3 linked regions of the Cricetulus griseus genome follow. The protein of the gene in region 1 interacts with the protein of each later gene in a pairwise test. Links are inferred from orthologs where the notes say so. Each region holds a gene or a part of one and is shown in the gene's direction. Other genes may lie near its edges.

Region 1 (3,291 bases):
AATAAATAAATAGAGAATTGAGGAAGATACCCAATATCAACTTCCAGCCAGCACACACAAAAATATACACAAAGAATTATGAGGCAGAGGCAGGCGGATCTCTGAGTTACAGGACAGTCTGGTCTATGGAGTGAGTTCCAGAACAGCCATGGCTATGCAGAGAAACCCTGTCTCAAAAAACAAAAGAAAACAACAAAAAAGAATCTGTGTAGGGAAGCTGGAAGTGATGAGAAAAGTCTATAATCCTAGTATTTTGCAGGTGGGCTATATGTTGAATTTAAGGCCAGCCTGGGATACACGAGACCTCGTCTCTTTAAAAAAACAAAACAAAACAAGCCTGGTGTGGTGTCACATATCTGTACTCCGAACACCTGGGAGGCAGAAGCAGGTGAATCTTTGTGAGTTCCAGGCCAGCCTGGTCTACATAGCAGGTCCTGGACAAGCCAGGGCTACACAGTGAGATCTGATCTAAAATACAAAAACTATAAAAAGCAAAAAGAATCTATTTAAGGGCTAGGGGCATAACTCAGTGGTAGAGCATTTGCCTAGCTAGGATGTACCGGGCATTGGGTTTGATCCCTAGCACTGAACAAAAGAAAAATCCTCTGAAGTACTTTGCTGGCACAGTAGATTTCCAATAGCTTTTGACACTTATGAGCACCTCCTATGATTCATAGCTCCTCAGGGAAGGAAGAAATTCCATCTTCCACAGATGAGAAGGCTGAGGGTCCTATAAAAAGATAATCGTGTCTCGTAGACTCAGGAGGGAAGGCTACTTATGCCTGGGAAATAAGGCTTTCAACATCTTAGTTTAGTCCTAAGCTGAGGAAGGATGAGAGGAAGGAAGGTCAAAGTTTATGGAGTGGGAAAGCATTACTGGAAAGAAACCAGCAAGCAGTAAAGCTAGCTTGGAGCTAGGTACGAGCGCCTGGTACAGAGCAGCAGTTGTGTAACGGTGGCACCTAAATGACAGGCTGAAGGAAAGGCCCCAAGATGGATGGCAAGTTCAGTGCTTCTTCTCTTTCAACCTAGATCAGCCCAGAGGAGGAAGAGCGCCGCAGAGTGAGGCGTGAAAGGAACAAGTTAGCAGCAGCTAAGTGCAGAAACCGAAGAAAGGAACTGACAGACTTCCTGCAGGCGGTGAGCATCAGCTGGTACAGACAGTTCCCAGGCCCTGGGCCCACCAAGCCCAAGAGTGACCTTGGTTCCTAGGAGCACAAGAAACCCAATAAATTACTCCTCCACATTCCACCTTCCTCCCTGCCTGAGGGGAAGTCCTGGGAAAAGTATAAGAACAGTTGGGTTAAAAATTATTTGCCACAGGGGCAATGGTGGCGCACGCCTTTGATCCCAGCACTGGGGAGGCAGAGGCAGGCTGATATCTGTGTGTCCGAGGCCAGCCTGGTCTACAGAGCAAGTTCCTGGATAGCGTGGGCAGTTACACAGAGAAACCCTGTCCCAAAAATCAAAACAAAAAATTATTTGTCTTGGGCCTTGAAGCAGAGATGTTGGTAGGCAAGTCCTGGGCCTGATGGGAGTCATGCCCATTTTCTCCAAGAGTCTCATGGGACTTGCAGGGGACTTGAGGGCACATCCCCCATACTCCAGCCTGAGGCTTAGAGATCTTTAGCCCTCTTAAATTTCTCCTAAAGGAGACCGACAAATTGGAGGACGAGAAATCGAGCCTGCAGCGAGAGATTGAAGAGCTGCAGAAACAGAAGGAGCGCCTTGAGCTGGTGTTGGAAGCCCATCGCCCCATCTGCAAAATCCCAGAAGGAGATAAGGACACAGGTGGTACCAGCAGCACCAGCGGCTCTGGCGCCCGTGGCGGCGGCAGCCCACCAGCCCCCTGCCGCCCGGTACCTTGTATCTCCCTTTCTCCAGGGCCTGTACTTGAACCTGAAGCCCTGCACACCCCCACGCTCATGACCACACCGTCTCTGACTCCCTTTACTCCCAGTCTGGTTTTCACCTACCCTAGCACACCAGAACCTTGTTCCTCAGCACATCGAAAGAGTAGCAGCAGCAGTGGCGACCCCTCCTCCGACCCCCTGGGTTCTCCCACACTCCTGGCTTTGTGAGACACCCAACCACACCCCTTGCTGGTGCTACCCCAGCCTCCTTTTCCCCACTGATCCAGCAGGCCTGGACCATAACCATGCTCCAAACCAGCAGGTCCTTTATCTCTCAGATTAGAACAAACATATTATGCTTTGATGTAGAGCCAGCTTGGGGGGGGGTCCCCAAAGCTGCTCATTGTTTCTCTAGAGCTGGCCTATCATAATTTGCACAAAATTAGAGACAAAATATGTCCCCTTTAGGCCAGAGAAATCCTGGCAGCCCAGTCTTTGTAGATCCCCAGTGGTCCTTTGGAGCCCTTTCCCTTCCTTGCAGACCACTCTCATGCTATGTCACTTTCTTCATACGATCCAGCCAGCCCTACACCCAGACAGGTGTCCTTTTACTAGAACACTAACTCACACAGCTCCACTGCCAGCAGCGACAGGGCATCCTGCAGGCTCCTCCTGAATGGCACAACTCAGGAGGCACTGGTGGCTTCTGTGATGAGCTGAGCTGCACTCCCAAGCTTTGAGAAGCCTCTACTTCCAGGGTATCCAAGCCTCCACATCAAGGGCAGCTGCTATTTATTTTCCTAAAGAGACTATTTTTATACAAACCTTCCAAAATGGAATAAAGGCTTGAAGCTCTAGTCTGAGTTGTCATGTTGGATCCAGAAGCTAAAGGAGACTGTTTCGAACAGGAGCTCTAGGTTCCAGTCTCAGCTGTGACCTTGAAGAAACTATCATATATTTTTGGACTTTTGACATTCTCATCTGAAGAATGGGGCTACCTCTGCTCTGCCTCATCTCCTGTACTTCGAGAGACTGAGAATGCTCTGGAGTGCAAGCAAACAAGATGATCAGTTTTTCCCCATGGGGAATCACACTGCTCCTATCTTAAGGACTGGGGGCAGGGAAGGACCGTGTCATACCCTTCCACCTTCCGAACAGGCAGCCAGTGGGCTTGAGGCCCCCAACACCTGCTTCCTGCCCCATTGTTTCGGACAGGAAGGAGCCTGGAAGGGAGCTAGAGCCACTTCAGGGGCCGGATTTCGGCCTGTCTTGGCGCCCATTGGGGGAGTAAGTGCTCTACCACTGTCTTAAATCCCACCCAAAACTCCAGGTAATGAGGAGTCAGCCCTTAGTTCTGCAGTCCCTCCGGGTGGGAATTGCACCACGTCTTTGGGTTTCCGCCCTCTTCCCAACCACGGCGAGTTCCAGACACAGGCTG
Region 2 (1,827 bases), on another chromosome or scaffold:
AGAGCTCATCACAGTTTATAACTTAGGAACAAAGGCACTGATAACAGGAATATGGAAAGAATCAAAGATAGAATGTTGGCAAATGGATACTCTGTGCAGATTTGGAGATCTTTTGGTGAAATTGTCTCAACTGAAGAGAAGCCCCTGTTGACAATTACTTATGTATTTAATGAAAGCACCCCTTGCAAGTCTTGAAGTCTCTAAACTCAAATGATCTCCCGCAGTATGACCCTCAGTGTCAGTGTTATTTCTCTGGGTGAAATTTAAACAAGCAAGGAAATGTGTTAAGAAAGCATTACTCTAAAAAAATGTTGATGGCTGCAGGCCCACCGAGGAACACTGTATTGGATGAACAGGTCGGCTGCAGAGAAGTTTAAGCTGAAGCAGGCCAGCCCTGAGTGCTGAGCTTCTATGCTCGCACAGCCCTCCACTGTGGCAGGCTTGGCTCCCCCAGCGTTTCTTCATCAGGCTGGGGGAATTGACAGAGGCCCGGGGCGATGCTCCCTTGGTCACGCCTTCCTCCTCCTGGGCCACGTCCACTCGGTCCGTCAGTCCCACCCTGGCCACACCCCCACGCCACCAGCACTCCCCTCCGCCACGCCTTTCTCACCGCAGTGCGCTGGCGCATTGGCTGCCAGAGTGACCTTGTGGGTGGAGCTTCCGCCACCAGCTAGACCCCCTCTGCGCAGTGCCCAGGGTCAGCACTCCTCTGAGGACACGCACTTCCTCTACGGCCTCCTTGAGCAGCTCCGCGGAGCCGATCCGAGCCCGAGAGCCCGAGACCTGCCAAGCGAGTCACCATGGTGGACGAGCTGGTGTTGCTTCTGCACGCGCTGCTGGTGCGACACCGCGACCTGTGCATCGAGAACAACCGGCTCATGAAACAGCTGCGGCTGCTGGTGTGTGAGCGGGCCATTCTGCTGCGCCAGGTACGTCCGCCCAGCTGTCCGGTGCCCTTCCCCTCACCGTTTAATGGCGAGAACGCCCGGCTCCCCGAGTTTATTGTGCAGACGATGTCCTACATGCTTGTGAATGAGGACCGCTTCTGCAACGACGCCATGAAAGTGGCATTCCTGATCAGCCTCCTCTCCGGGAAAGCCGAGGATTGGGTGGTGCCGTACATCCAGACAGATAGCGCCATTCTCTGTGATTATCGCGCGTTTGTTGAAGAGATGAAGCAGTGTTTTGGCTGGTATGACGACGAAGATGATGATGATGATGATGACGACGACTGTGAAGCGGTTGATTGCTAGGCCCCGAGCCCCCTTAGGCCTACATGAGGAGGACCCTGCACGCTGCGTCCTCCCTACCCCCACCGCTACTCCTGCTGCCTCCGTGCCCCCCTTTGCATTGCCATTCTCTTCCCTGCCAATCACTTCGCTCCTTCATCCCTTTTAGTGCTTGTCTTTGTGCCAATTACCTGCTACGAGTGCTTGAGTTGGGCCTGGGCCTGGCTCTGAGGTTCACAGTGTTCAATTTTAACCAATCCGGGCACCTTTCTAATCTGAACTGTGTTTTGAGCTCCAGCCATTGTCCAGGCCTGTGTTAGAACTCGTCAGACCACCTGCATTCCTGCCGCTGGCTTCTGATGGATCGCCATCTACATCTGCCAGAAGTGGATGCCTGTCACCTCACCCCCCCCCACCACCACCCCCCACTGCATCTCATCTGCAGCCATCCACTTTTCAAGATATGGACCAGGAAGAAGATGATGGAGTTGGCTACATCTATTCAGACTCTCATTTGGACAGTTCACCAACCCTCCTAGAAGGGGCCATTCTTACAGCCTGGTTAGTTCTGTACCTACTTCCAGGTTCCTCCTCTGCC
Region 3 (3,757 bases), on another chromosome or scaffold:
ATAAAGACTTTGCCCTTGAATTTATTTAATCCACTTATTTTGGTGAAGTTGGTATTAGTATTTCCATTTTACAGATGAGGAAACTAAGCTGTAATTAAGTGAAAATGCTTATCAAAGATCTCAGAATTAGGAAGTGACAGTTTCCGGTGCTTGGTGGCACATGTCCTTTAATCCTAGCACTCAGGAGGTAGAGGCTGTATCGGGTGTGTGTGTGTGTAATTTGTGTGTGTGTTGGGGGGGGGCAAATCTACGTGACTTCCGGGACAGCCTGATCTACATAAGATAGTTAAGAACCACACCACGCCGGGCGGTGGTGGCACACGCCTTTAATCCCAGCACTCGGGAGGCAGAGGCAGGCGGATCTCTGTGAGTTCGAGACCAGTCTGGTCTACAAGAGCTAGTTCCAGAACAGCCTCCAAAGCCACAGAGAAACCCTGTCTTGAAAAAAAAAAAAAAGAAAGAAAAGAAAGAAAACCACACCACATAGTGATCCTGTCTCAAGAAAAGTGTCAGCTGTGGATTTGAGATCAGGGTCTGATGAATTCTAGCTATTTATACTTCACTATTCCAAAACCATTAAAAAATGGTAATCAAAAATGTCACATATGAGCCTCAGAAAAACTGGAAGACATGAGGTCTGACGCTAGTACAAAGGCATAAATAAACCCAGATCTACATATGTCCAGAGATGTCCCAGTGTCCACCTGGAAACCCCTCAAAATGATGCCCTGATCCAAGATGGCTTCCCAAATTGCCCTTGTTAAAGATGGCCCCTACTTCCTTTTAGCGGAACTAAAAAGGCTCCGCCTAGCACCAAGATGGAAGTAAAATTTAGTCGTTTGTTTGTTGTCGTTGTTGTTGTTTCTGGTTCTTGCTGCAAACAGCTAGAACTCCAGCGACGTCCGCGAGGACAGCGCTTCTCTTGGGGGCCTCTAAAAACTCACAAACCCACGTCGGCTTTAGCGCGCATCCCAGTCTGGAGCGAACGGAAATGGGGCGGTTCCGGGGCGGTCGGTAGGCAGGGCGGGTCGAGGAGACACTTCCGCCCCTCACCAACATGGCCGCAGGCCGCGATTGCGCATGAGCAGCTGTCTATGGAGAGACCTAGATCCAAAGAGGGAGAACGCTGCCGGGGGAAATCGGCGACTGGAGCGGCCCGGGTCGGTGAGTGCGTCGGAGCCAGACGGAGCCTGGGGACGAGGTGGAGCGGCGAGGCGGGGCAGCTTGGCCTTGCTTCATTTCCCCCGGGCAGGCAGCGCCGGGGCTCGAAGCCTTTGTTTTGGGGGAGGGGGCCGTGCCTGGCTCTTTATCTCCTGCCCTGCTTTGTGGGCCGAGCTCGCTCCCCGGCCGGGAGTGCACACGTCCCGCCCTCCCGTGGTGTCCCGCCGCGGGCCGCAGCTGCCAGCCGCAGGCCTGGGGGGGGACCCCGGCGTCCTTCCCTGTCTCCTTTGCGGAGCAGCTGGGGCGCGGGGCGAGCCGGGCGAGCCGGGCGAGCGGGGCGAGCGGGGCTGGGCCGACGGGGTCACCGCGTGGGCTTCGGGGCTCGCGCCTGACGGGTGGTGCTCAGCTCCCCGAGCGCCTCCCGCTAGTTGGTGGGCCTGCAGGGAGACGCCTCGTTCTCAGGCAAGGTCCTGGCGCCTGGATTCTTTCAGAACTTGATCTTTTTATTTTTTTTGCTTTTGCTTTTGCGTCTGTGCTTGACGAGGGCGTTTGCTTGGCCCTCCTTTTGAGCGTGCAAACCACAACATCCTATGCTGATTTCCGTGTCACATATTCTTAAATGCTCAGGAAACGCTTCCGGATGTATAACCAAGATTTGAGTAAGTAGCCTACCGCCGTTGCTGGGTGGCCTGCGAAGTTGCTCTGACAGCTGTGGGCTATACAGTTGCTTCCTGTGCGTTGCCTTCTCTTCATTGCCTGCTTCTGCAGGCCATGCAACAAGCTTCGGAGGGGCTCTTCCTCCTGGCCTTTGAGGATAGAGACCTAGGTGGTCCCTAGACACTGGTGCTTGCCTCCCTTTGCAACGTTACTTTGGACGGTCAGTTTCACTTTCAGTTCCTTTTTGTTGTTATTTTTGTTACCATTTTCTTTGCTCTCGGGCTTTCCAAGGCTTATTATCCGCTAAACTAAGATTTTCTTTGGATTAGAAAGGTTTGGAGGATTTTATGGGTGGAAAACTTACAAAAATCTTGTCCTTTCTTGTTGAGAATATTTTATTGCTTTGTACTGTGCAGCTGTTTCTTTCTGGAGGCATCTGTCTGCTCAGTTCTTTGTTTTTCTGTTCTCTGGCGGGGTGTCAAGAGTCCTAAGGCAGAAACATTGTAGATGGATTCCTCCCCCATTGTCTTTTCTCCTTCAGAACCCCGAGCCTGGATTTTTTCCCCCTTCCTCCTGAGGCTTAGTTGATTTGGAGTTGTCATGGCAACATTTTAGCAACTGTGTTTCTCTACAGGAAGCCTTGATGAATAAAATAGAGGAGCCTTGAATATGATGCACTTGGGCTTTAGAGTTTGTAACAGATGCTGTAAATCTGAACTCCCCCAAAACAAGATCCCTGACAGTAGAATCATACCCAAGAGCCAAATCTAGGTTTTGTGGTTAGTGATGGTTTTCCAGTGGCAAAAAGAGGGTTCCAGTTTTTCCCTTTTGAGATTGAGGACTGGAATTTCTTTTTTGTTGTTATTGTTTTGTTTTATTTTGAGACAGGATCTCTCTGTATATACCCCTGGCTGTCTTAGAACTCAGTATATAGACCAGGCTGGCCTGGAATTCAGAGATCCACCTGTCTCTGCCTTCCGAGTGCTGGGACTAAAGGACCAAAATGCCTGGTGAGGACTAAAATTTCTTTCTTTGGTTTTTCAAGACAAGGTTTCTCTGTGTAGTCCTGGCTGTCCTGGAACTCACTCTGTAGACCAGGCTGGCCTTTAACTCAGAGATCTGCCTGCCTCTTGCCCCTGTCTCTGCCACCACCGCCCTGCTTAGAATTTCTTATTGTACAGTTTGTGTCTAAGAAGGGCACCATGGTGGGTGTTATTTGGTAGTGGTGGCCTAAACATGACCCTAACTATTCCTATGAAACTATAGTAGCTTTAGTAATACTCTATAATTGCTTCAATAATGCACCTTGAAACATACTATTTCTCGGCCTTCTAGTATAATTATCTCCTACCCCTCGGAGGTGGAATGAATATGGAGGAGCCGCCAGGCGGTGGCAGTGCTAGCCTTTAATCCCAACACTCAGGGAGGCAGAGGCAGGCAGGATCTCTGTTGGAGGCCAGCCTGGTCTACAAGTGAGTTCCAGGACATCCAGAGCTACACAGAGACACCCAGTTGAAACTAAAACCAACCAACCAACCAATAGATAAATAAATAAGGAGTAAAGAACATTATTTAAAAAGTTGCTTTTTAAAAATGTTATAGCCGGGTGTTGGTGGCTCACTCCTTTAATCGCAGCACTCAGGGAGGCAGAGGCAGGTGAATCTCTATGAGTTTGAGACCAGCCTGGTCTACAGGGCGAGTCAGAAATTTAACATTAGTTATGACAATTCGGCCTTATCTTATGCTTGTTTTTATTTTCTTTTTATTTATCCTATGTATCTTTTTACATCAAGTATTTTGATCCCATTCATTTCCCTGCCCCCTTCAAATCCATTTTGCACCCCTCCCCAAATAATATAAAATTTCAGAGAAAAAAGGGGGGAGGAATAATTTAAAATCTCATCAAGGAAGCTGAGGTGTGACATAGTGAGTCACACAG

Evidence for each region. The genes of interacting proteins can lie anywhere in the genome.
Region 2: the proteins of Fosl1 (region 1) and protein LDOC1-like interact in binary tests that used the Homo sapiens proteins (3 or more experiments, as listed by UniProt). The two-hybrid records come from large-scale screens. The link is inferred for Cricetulus griseus from reciprocal best matches to the Homo sapiens genes FOSL1 and LDOC1.
Region 3: the proteins of Fosl1 (region 1) and Usf1 interact in binary tests that used the Homo sapiens proteins (3 or more experiments, as listed by UniProt). The link is inferred for Cricetulus griseus from reciprocal best matches to the Homo sapiens genes FOSL1 and USF1.

What each region holds. Positions count from the first base shown.
Region 1 is NC_048596.1:53,884,913-53,888,203, reverse strand, and holds the end of Fosl1 (fos-related antigen 1), read left to right. Parts: intron 1-1,032; coding exon 1,033-1,140; intron 1,141-1,652; coding exon 1,653-2,081; 3' UTR 2,082-2,710; downstream 2,711-3,291.
Region 2 is NC_048604.1:11,336,507-11,338,333, reverse strand, and holds protein LDOC1-like, read left to right. Parts: upstream 1-800; coding exon 801-1,253; downstream 1,254-1,827. UniProt on the Homo sapiens protein: May have an important role in the development and/or progression of some cancers.
Region 3 is NC_048598.1:21,483,057-21,486,813, reverse strand, and holds the start of Usf1 (upstream stimulatory factor 1), read left to right. Parts: upstream 1-1,009; 5' UTR 1,010-1,164; intron 1,165-1,788; exon of another isoform or gene 1,789-1,820; intron 1,821-1,860; exon of another isoform or gene 1,861-2,038; intron 2,039-3,757.